Linked DNA regions of Saccharomyces cerevisiae S288C. The main gene of each other region encodes a partner of the protein of the gene in region 2 in a complex. Each region holds a gene or a part of one and is shown on either strand. Other genes may lie near its edges. The genes, in order: PSF2, PSF1 and SLD5. A codon is read from its position in the direction of its gene.

Evidence for each region.
Region 1: PSF1 (region 2) and PSF2 share a complex: the UniProt entries of both Saccharomyces cerevisiae proteins name them as parts of the GINS complex.
Region 3: the proteins of PSF1 (region 2) and SLD5 are in contact, whole or in part, in a cryo-EM structure (PDB 3JC6), measured with the Saccharomyces cerevisiae proteins. Residues at the interface, in NP_010296.3 of Saccharomyces cerevisiae: Leu41 (codon at 1,972), Ser45 (codon at 1,984), Arg48 (codon at 1,993), Leu76 (codon at 2,077), Met79 (codon at 2,086), Glu80 (codon at 2,089), Lys83 (codon at 2,098), Arg84 (codon at 2,101), Leu86 (codon at 2,107), Leu87 (codon at 2,110), Gln90 (codon at 2,119), Arg91 (codon at 2,122), Thr94 (codon at 2,131), Asp98 (codon at 2,143), Trp102 (codon at 2,155), Asn103 (codon at 2,158), Gln126 (codon at 2,227), Glu127 (codon at 2,230), Glu129 (codon at 2,236), Tyr130 (codon at 2,239), Glu133 (codon at 2,248), Tyr134 (codon at 2,251), Leu137 (codon at 2,260), Ile138 (codon at 2,263), Leu141 (codon at 2,272), Gly144 (codon at 2,281), Asp145 (codon at 2,284), Leu146 (codon at 2,287), Val147 (codon at 2,290), Asp148 (codon at 2,293); in NP_010777.3 of Saccharomyces cerevisiae: Leu88 (codon at 1,177), Ile91 (codon at 1,168), Ser92 (codon at 1,165), Leu127 (codon at 1,060), Glu130 (codon at 1,051), Thr131 (codon at 1,048), Glu134 (codon at 1,039), Arg135 (codon at 1,036), Lys137 (codon at 1,030), Phe138 (codon at 1,027), Ile140 (codon at 1,021), Arg141 (codon at 1,018), Ile144 (codon at 1,009), Arg145 (codon at 1,006), Leu148 (codon at 997), Asp152 (codon at 985), Lys153 (codon at 982), Asp178 (codon at 907), Tyr182 (codon at 895), Thr185 (codon at 886), His186 (codon at 883), Ile189 (codon at 874), Trp190 (codon at 871), Leu193 (codon at 862), Val194 (codon at 859), Asp196 (codon at 853), Ser197 (codon at 850), Ile198 (codon at 847), Leu199 (codon at 844), Tyr201 (codon at 838).

Annotation. Positions count from the first base shown.
Region 1 is NC_001142.9:304,713-307,530, reverse strand, and holds PSF2 (DNA replication protein PSF2), read left to right. Parts: upstream 1-1,668; coding exon 1,669-2,310; downstream 2,311-2,818. Other genes in the region: ARG2 (acetyl-CoA:L-glutamate N-acetyltransferase), read right to left, coding at 1-1,399; JEM1 (Jem1p), read right to left, coding at 2,413-2,818. UniProt on the Saccharomyces cerevisiae protein: Functions as part of the GINS complex which plays an essential role in the initiation of DNA replication by binding to DNA replication origins and facilitating the assembly of the DNA replication machinery.
Region 2 is NC_001136.10:471,306-474,297, forward strand, and holds PSF1 (DNA replication protein PSF1), read left to right. Parts: upstream 1-1,851; coding exon 1,852-2,478; downstream 2,479-2,992. Other genes in the region: 60S ribosomal protein uL4 RPL4B, read left to right, coding at 548-1,636; RAD61 (Rad61p), read left to right, coding at 2,741-2,992. UniProt on the Saccharomyces cerevisiae protein: Required for DNA replication. Functions as part of the GINS complex which plays an essential role in the initiation of DNA replication by binding to DNA replication origins and facilitating the assembly of the DNA replication machinery.
Region 3 is NC_001136.10:1,429,157-1,432,449, reverse strand, and holds SLD5 (DNA replication protein SLD5), read right to left. Parts: upstream 1,439-3,293; coding exon 554-1,438; downstream 1-553. Other genes in the region: serine/threonine protein kinase PKH1, read left to right, coding at 1-482; PAC11 (dynein intermediate chain), read left to right, coding at 1,661-3,262. UniProt on the Saccharomyces cerevisiae protein: Required for DNA replication. Functions as part of the GINS complex which plays an essential role in the initiation of DNA replication by binding to DNA replication origins and facilitating the assembly of the DNA replication machinery.

The DNA.
Region 1 (2,818 bases), on a different chromosome or scaffold from region 2:
GAACGGCGAACTTATCGAGATAAACAAAGGAATTTTCCTCCGAGCCTTCATAGGTAAGAATTGCAATGCCTTCATAATCACCTATCACAATAATTGTAGCTATTTTTCCATTAATCCTTTTTATGTAGTCATGCAAATCCAAAGATCTTTTAAAGCTCTGATCGATGATGGATTTAAATTTGTTGATATCTAGTTTTGGACTATTGCTCGAGGGTTTTGCTCCTTTCTCAGGTACGTGAAACTTCTTTGGAAGCCCAATTGAGTTGAATTGAGTCAGCGTCTTATAGTCATAAGTTTTGATATGGACGCCCTTTTTGAGAACAGTTGTCACTAAAACTGCATCTGAGTTAGAAGGAGCTGCATTTACCTGTTGGGAAGGCAATTCATACCATGCGTGATCATCAAACATGTTGGCTGGTGAGTCTATCTCGCCGTCCTTTTTTTTAAACCTTGGTAAAGAAGAAGAAATTAGCGATCGGTCTGTCAATAAATTATATACTAAAGGATTTTTCCTATCTGATGATAGTGCGGCAGCTTTGACAGTTGTAATCAGTCCCGTTGCTGTAGCCGCTAGATTTGATAAAACTTTGTCCATCAATAACAGGTTTTCTAAATGATCATGGTATTCACATTCTAAGGAAGATATCTCATCTTTTTTAACGTACACCTCCATTCTGTGTAACAGGTTTTGGGAGCGTGGCTCTCGTTTGGTTAGAGTGCTTATATTGTGAGATAATGACGAGGACAAATGCTCGAGTTCCTGAGAAAGATTGATGAATACATGAGCGTTATCATTTCTCTCTCCCGAAGGTATACCTCCGGCATTATTTAGAATGAAGAATTTGTCAATGTGTGGAATATTCCCTTGGCACAGGCAATCCATAAATTTTACAACATCCTTTGTCATGAATTCTGAAGCAGTCTCTTCATTATACACATAAGGTTTCACAATTGGTATAAAATTGGAATTTCCAATATCAAAGAAACGACTCTCTTGCGAAAAAACAGAATGATATAACCCAGTGCGGGATTTAGTAAGACCCTCCTTAAGGTGAAGTGGCTTTAAATCTGCTTCTGTAACGATACTGTCAAGTAACTCTGCCTGTATATTTACATGAGTTGGCGACGGCGGAATTACAAACATAGGTCGCAAACCTAGCATTCCTAGTCTCTTTATGACACTTGAAAACTGGGACAAAATCGCTGGTGCGACTTTATGCAGGTCCCTGATAAAAAACAAACAATGATTATGCTGCCCACTATCATTTGTATATTTTGAGAGATAATCCTTAGCCTCTCGTTTTGTAGCGGTTGTATTCAGAACTGAAAGGATCAAGTTTTTTGAAGATGCATTGGGTTGATCATACTTGAGTTCATGCGCGAATATTCTCCTCCACATGATAAAAGTAACCGACTAGTGTCCTAGATTGACGGTCCTAGCTTCAAATGTGTTAACTTTCACAATTTATGTCGAACGTGCTTATGACTCCATGGGAAGATCAGTGATGACTAACCTTTTTTTTCTCCAGCGTGAAATTTCTTGTGATATTTTCCATTTAATGAAAAATCAGTCGCCTAAAGTGTAACTATGAAATGGTTAACAAAAAAGAGTTTTATACTTAGAGAGGATCAACGGCTGATCTGAAATAAGACTAGTTTCATAGACGCATGTCACTACCGGCACATTTGCAGCAGACTTTCTCACCAGAAGAAATACAGTTCATTGTGGAAAACGAGCCAATAAAGATTTTTCCCAGAATAACAACACGCCAAAAAATTCGTGGCGATGATAGAGGAACTGGAAACCACACCCGCTGGCAACTTATTACTACAGATGACAAAGCTTTAAATAATATGGTAGCCATGCGTTCTACAGAAGTGGTTCTTTGGATCGCTCTATTACTGAAGCAACAATCCAAGTGCAGTATTGTAGCACCACAGTGGTTAACGACGAAAGAGCTTGATAGAAAAATACAATATGAGAAAACTCATCCGGATAGGTTTAGTGAGTTGCCGTGGAACTGGCTTGTCTTGGCACGTATACTTTTCAATAAAGCTAAGGATGATTTTCATGACCCCATTCACGAATTACGTGGTAAAATACAAGACTTAAGGGAAATAAGGCAGATCAAAGTGTTAAAAGGCCTTAAGTATTTGAATGAATCTCATTTACAATTGGATAATTTAAGTCTATTAGAAATCAATGAGTTGAGGCCGTTCATTACTGAAATCATGGATAAACTGCGAGAAATTCACACAGCATCTCTTACCGCTGGTACTGAAAATGATGAAGAAGAATTCAATATTTAAAAAAGTGCTGGCTTTGCAATAATTAGAACTTTCAGTGATATGCGTATGTATATATATGTACTTGTTGTGGTATCCTAGTTAATGGGCATAGAATGTATTTCATCAAAGCCCAAAATTCATTTTAAAGCCATTTCCGAATGGGAAGCCACTTCCTGGATTTTTGAACATGTTATTTTGCCTAGGCCCCTGAGGAAAAGTGTTGCGGCGGGGGTTTGATCTGGAAAGATCGTATTCCTTCCTTTTATCGTCATCACTTAATGTTTCGTACGCTTCATTGATTTGTGACATAGTTTCGTGAATTGATTCTTGTTTGTCGTTATGGTTGGCCTTTATTTTGTCTGGGTGGTATTTTTTGGTTAAATTTAAATATGCTTTCCTTATTTCTTTCGAACTAGCACTAGGCGATACTCCAAGAATTTTATAATAGTCCTTTTTTGGGTCGTAGTTAGGCGCTGCTGGGGGTGCTTGATGTCGTTGGTGTTGTTGCTGCTGTTGTTGTTGTTGGAAA
Region 2 (2,992 bases):
TTTATTATTCTTTTTTTCTGCATAGTTCATTCGACAGCTTGGTTGAAAAGAGTGATAAAAATTTTCTGTTTTATGAAAAGTTTTCATAACTCTATTAAGGGTTGCACTATAAGAACATTTCGCAATAAAGCAACCCTTATCCGGACCCTACATGTTCCGTAAGTCCTGCCTTATTTATCGTAACGGTATTCATCTTACAGGAATTTTTGAATATAGATAACGTTAGTTTTGATAGATTGGAACAAATGGGAAAATAACAATTTAGAAGCGCTTTCCTCAGCGTATCTGAATTATAAAACAACTGCGCATATTGCTAAGAACTGCACTGAAGGCATGAATTGTCTATTCCGTTAGAAATATAATTATTTACGAAAGCATCGCGCAGACGCAATTTTTTTAACATTTTTTTTTTTTCAAGTACTCTGGAAAAGTTTTCATGAAGATCATGAATACGTTACACTACTATTATTATTGAAAATAATATTTCTTTCCTATCAGCAATCGCTTACATATTCATAGTCATTTACTAGGGTATATACCAATAATAATGTCCCGTCCACAAGTTACTGTTCACTCTTTGACTGGTGAAGCTACTGCCAATGCCTTGCCATTGCCAGCTGTCTTCTCCGCTCCTATCCGTCCTGACATTGTCCACACTGTTTTCACCTCTGTGAACAAGAACAAGAGACAAGCTTACGCTGTTTCTGAAAAGGCTGGTCACCAAACCTCCGCTGAATCCTGGGGTACCGGTCGTGCCGTCGCTCGTATTCCAAGAGTTGGTGGTGGTGGTACCGGTAGATCCGGTCAAGGTGCCTTCGGTAACATGTGTCGTGGTGGTCGTATGTTTGCTCCAACTAAGACCTGGAGAAAGTGGAACGTTAAGGTTAACCACAACGAAAAGCGTTACGCCACTGCTTCTGCTATTGCTGCTACTGCTGTTGCTTCTTTGGTCTTGGCCAGAGGTCACAGAGTCGAAAAGATTCCAGAAATCCCATTGGTTGTCTCCACTGACTTGGAATCTATTCAAAAGACCAAGGAAGCTGTTGCTGCTTTGAAGGCTGTTGGTGCTCACTCCGACTTGTTGAAGGTCTTGAAGTCCAAGAAATTGAGAGCCGGTAAGGGTAAGTACAGAAACAGAAGATGGACTCAAAGAAGAGGTCCATTAGTTGTCTACGCTGAAGACAACGGTATCGTCAAGGCCTTGAGAAACGTTCCAGGTGTTGAAACTGCCAACGTTGCTTCTTTGAACTTGTTGCAATTGGCTCCAGGTGCTCACTTGGGTAGATTCGTTATCTGGACCGAAGCTGCTTTCACCAAGTTGGACCAAGTCTGGGGTTCCGAAACCGTTGCCTCCTCCAAGGTCGGTTACACTTTGCCATCCCACATCATCTCCACTTCTGATGTCACCAGAATTATCAACTCTTCTGAAATCCAATCTGCTATCAGACCAGCTGGCCAAGCTACTCAAAAGCGTACTCACGTTTTGAAGAAGAACCCATTGAAGAACAAGCAAGTTTTGTTGAGATTGAACCCTTACGCCAAGGTCTTTGCTGCTGAAAAGCTAGGTTCCAAGAAGGCTGAAAAGACTGGTACCAAGCCAGCTGCTGTTTTCGCCGAAACCTTGAAGCATGACTAGAATTTATAGTATAGATCTTTAACTTTAATTTAAATATCTTTGTTACTAGTCTTTAATCAAACCTTTTTGTTTTCTTTAAAGTCGAAACGTCAGATTTGCTCAAAACCTTCTTGTCGTTACAACGCGAAAATTGTAATTTAAAATAACTAACGAAGAAAGCTGAAAAATAGATGTGAGGGAAAATCGTTTATAAACGGCCATGCTCACAGAGAATCATGTATGGAGATTTAGGTAATAAATTAGTATTAGAAGCTAAAAGAACAAAACAGCTGTACGCAAGAAGTAATCAAGATGTTAATTTACCCATGTATCATGAAGATATAATACGAAATATTCTGAAAGAAGTTTCAAATTTACGTAAAAATACGGAATATCTTAAAGAACAGCAGCAACTAGGAATGCTAGATGATAAGGTGGCTAAATGCCAGTATTTCGTTACCTTGTTATGTATGGAAAGGAACAAGAGATGTCTCTTAGCATACCAAAGGTTGAGAACAGACATACTAGATTCTATGGCTTGGAATAATAATGGTCTGGACTTGATGAGTAGCATTACGTTTAGCCAACAAGACACAAATAACCTTTCTCATCAAGAGCAGGAATATTTGAAAGAATACTGCGATTTAATTACTGATTTAAAAAGTGGTGACTTGGTCGATATTGATTTATCCGGCTCTTTAGTGCCTCCGAGCGATGTATTTATTGATGTTAGAGTGCTCAAAGATGCTGGTGAGATTCAAACTGAATACGGCGTGTTTAACCTTATTAAAGACTCCCAGTTTTTCGTAAGGCAGTCTGATGTAGAGCGTTTGATTCAACAAGGTTATTTGCAGAAGATATGATAAAATGCTTTCAAGCTGGTCTTCATGATATATAATCCTTTATAAAGCAAGATACATACCTCCATTCTAATTTACTCCCTTCTATGTTTACTTCAGCCCTTTTTAATAGATTTCGTAAGTTTTGGTTGAGGAGGCTTTCTGAGCTTTACGCGACTTTATTGATGACGAAGCTTCACTTTATTATAATAATGAAAAACTGCGCAGAGAAACTATCGCAAAACGAAACCATCTTCTTACCCTAAAGCATCCTGTTTCTGAAAAAATGAGAGCATATGGAAAGAGGGGCCCAGTTCTCAGAACTCCTTTTAGATCTAATAAAGGCTTGCCATCTTCTTCCGATGTTGAATTTAGTGATGACGATGTAAACTCCGTGATTCCTGATGTAAGTTCTACCATTTCGAGCAGTATTGCAGACCACCCGATAGAGGGATTATTGGACGAGCCTAGAAAGGCTCAGGACAGCTCGTCGTCATTTGATGGTGCAAATGAGAAGCCCTCTTCACAACTGGACTCA
Region 3 (3,293 bases), 960 kb from region 2:
AGAGAAGAAGTCTCAGCATGTGGGAAGAACAGGAATTTGAATTGCAATTCGAACTAGAGTTGAATGACGTTGAGAAGATACGCTTTATAAGTGATCAAGTCCTTGAAATTGACGGTTCCAGGACGATTTTCATAGGATGCAAAGAGAGAGCAGTTTTAATGAAACTATGGAAATTAATACATAATGGAATGACCGCCAAACCTAAAGTAGTATCGCCGAAGTCGGACCATAAAATGTTTGATAAGTTCATTCTTCAAAAAAGACAGAATACAAAAAAAAAGAATCAAGCTCCTCCCGTACCTCAATCGAATAGGCTAATAAATGGTTTACCGGACCGTTGCATCTTAAAGACACCCGAAGAAGGCGCACTTCACACAAAACGTCCCACTTCGTTGCAGACCCGATCGTCATCTAATTACTCAAAATTGCTGGCAAGATCGACACAAATGCGGAAAAACATGACACGGACAGATGAAAAATGAAACTGTGCTTGATAATATATATATATGCATATGTAAGACATGGTGAAGGGGAAAGTGTAATGCATAATAGTTCAAATAAGAGCAACTTTGTCGTCTCTCAGCAGATCCCTAATGACTTCATATCTCATAACGTAAATACTTCCAATAGTGAGTTCAACCTCTTCCTTTAAATCGGGTATTGTGACCGTGTAGCAAGGTTTACCGAACTCGTTTTCCTGCAATAGCGGATCTTCGTTCCATTTACCATCTGGTGGGCCGTTAACGTGTATAAAGACAAATTTGTTCCAGTCGGGCTCATCTATCATGTTTACGCTACCTTCTGTATCATTAATAGCCTGAAGTTCTTCGGGCATGTATTTCAGGATAGAATCATTGACTAGTTTCAACCAGATCAGGGAATGCGTGTCATGGTATTTGATTTCATCTTTGGATAGTAAATCTGTAAGAGAGATCAGCGAATTTTCATCTTCATTTAATTGGCGCAAATAAAGTGAGAATTTGTCAATTTTGCTTAGCCTACATCGTATGTAGCTTCTAATAACAAATTTCAATCTTTCTAACTCAGTTTCCATGCAGAGTAAAGGCAATTTAGATTCGTTAGGCATAGGCGGGTTCGCATTAGAAGCATTTTGCATATCGAGGAATCCCATTGAAATGTTTTCAATTAATTGAGATTGCATGGATATTCGATTCAATAATCTTTTCATCAACTGATGAGGATATGGTAAGAGTTCTGGCGAACACCGTTCATTTTTCCAAGACTTCATCAAGTCAGAAAAATCCTGCTGGGGAGAGACATATATCTGAGTCTTGTCATTCAAGTCTAAGGACGAACCCACTATTGTATTTGCATCTCTGTGGGTAGTGGAAGAAGAACCTTGCGTGATCTTGGTAGAGTCGACAGCAGTAGTTTCCTTATCCAGTTCTGCAAGAATATCGTCTATGTTAATGTCCATCACCGAGTCAGGTATCTTATTCTCCTTCCCAATACTAACAAATTTGGTTTTTCTTACCTATGGCTCAAATATAATGCTATTGAAATTTTCAGTACTAGTCCAAGGCGAAAAGAAAAAGAAATGAACTAGTTTTCGTGTTTTGCCGTAAACAAAGAGAAAAGGGAAAAAAGAGCATCACAGTTGGTTAATCAACCAAAGAGGAAGAAGGATTGAAACATTAAGATGGAGCGATTGAAGCAACTGGAGGAAAAAAGGAGACAATTGAAAGAGCTGCGTGAGAGGCGAAAACAAGCCAGCTTGTTCCCTGGGAGCGAGACGATGGGCCACCATCCCACAGAGGTGCACGCTAAGGCAACCATGGTCAGCGTTTCAGTGCAGACCGACATGGAGGAAGGCTCAAAGATTCAAGAGCCCCAATCTGCATATCTTCGACGTAAGGAGGTTATAACATACGACAAAGGCATTCAAACAGATCAAATTGAGGAAGAACAACTGCAAGAAAATGAAAATCACACCACTACTGATGCTGTCGCCATTGAAACTACTGCTGCCGACGAAAATAATAAAGACAAAGCTGAAAACGACCAGCCAAGGTTAGAACTAGCCAAACCTTTTCTTGTTGAAGAGGCGGCGGCAACGCTGAGCAACGCTAGTTTTGCGCGGCTGGAGACAGAGGTTTCTGCGTCAGGCCAGCAGGCGCCATCGAACATGCAACAGGATAAAGACAACCTCATGCAATGGAACATGGTCAGTGAGAATTTACAATCAGAGACAGACTGCGATTGTATCGCTCAGGAGTATGACCCAGGAAAAGGCGTCTTGGTTGTGGTTTATCTACGATTGCCGCCGGCAGACCTACAGTATGCTAGCAGCGAAGCGGCGTGGTCTGTGGTGAATGTAGTCAAGTGCGATAATGCCAGCGGACGCAACGGCCTCTTGATAGATATGGTAGAGTTCCGTGGTACGCGGATCATGACAGCCACGATCCTCCGTCGGTATCATCCGGAAAGCAATGTAATATCAATCTTGTTGGCGACCTTGACGGGCAAGATCATATTGTACGAGCTTAGATTGAAACAGAAAAAGCCAGAAACACCGGTAGTGTATGTCGTGCAGCGAAATATGGTGGCAAGACACTACTTTCAGCACCCAGTGGTGGCTGTAATTGAAACAAGCAGCGTGCAAGATCAAGAGAGAGTACTTGTGGCAGCTGATAATGGCAATATTATGGAGTTGAGCTGCCTGGACTTGACTGTTTTGCGGAAGCCACAGCAGCTCCGTCCTGTACCGCTATCACAGCTTTTATCTTTGGAGAATGATACTTGCACATATACGGAGCGATTGCAGCGGTTGGCAAAGTTTGATGAGGTAGGTATAGCTTGCATGGCGTACACGAGTGAGGACCCGCAGTACGTCTGGATCGGTGGCGAAGACGGTGGTATATACAAGGTTTTCTGGGACCAACCTGGGCCGCTGTACCTCTCTTTGGACAACAATGGGTTCCAACCTGCAGAAAACCACTCTACGAGGGTAACCGGGTTAGAGTTTCATTGGGACGATGCTCGGCGGCTAATGCTTCTATTATCATGTTCCACGGACTGGACGGTGCGGCTGTGGGACGCGCGAGCAGGGAAAGCTATCATAGGGGCGCCATTGTTGTTAGGGGGGCCCGTACTACGTGCACGCTGGCTCGAAAAAAACAATGGAGGGGAAAATAGTCGCACTCTACGGTGTCAAGTGTGGTGTGCAGATGGTCGCCTCGTTGTTGTAAATTGGGCTTTCGATGCTAAGACGTCCCTCTACACGGCCACTGTTATCTCCTAACGCCGCTTCGAGGCGGGTGAGCATAGGTTAT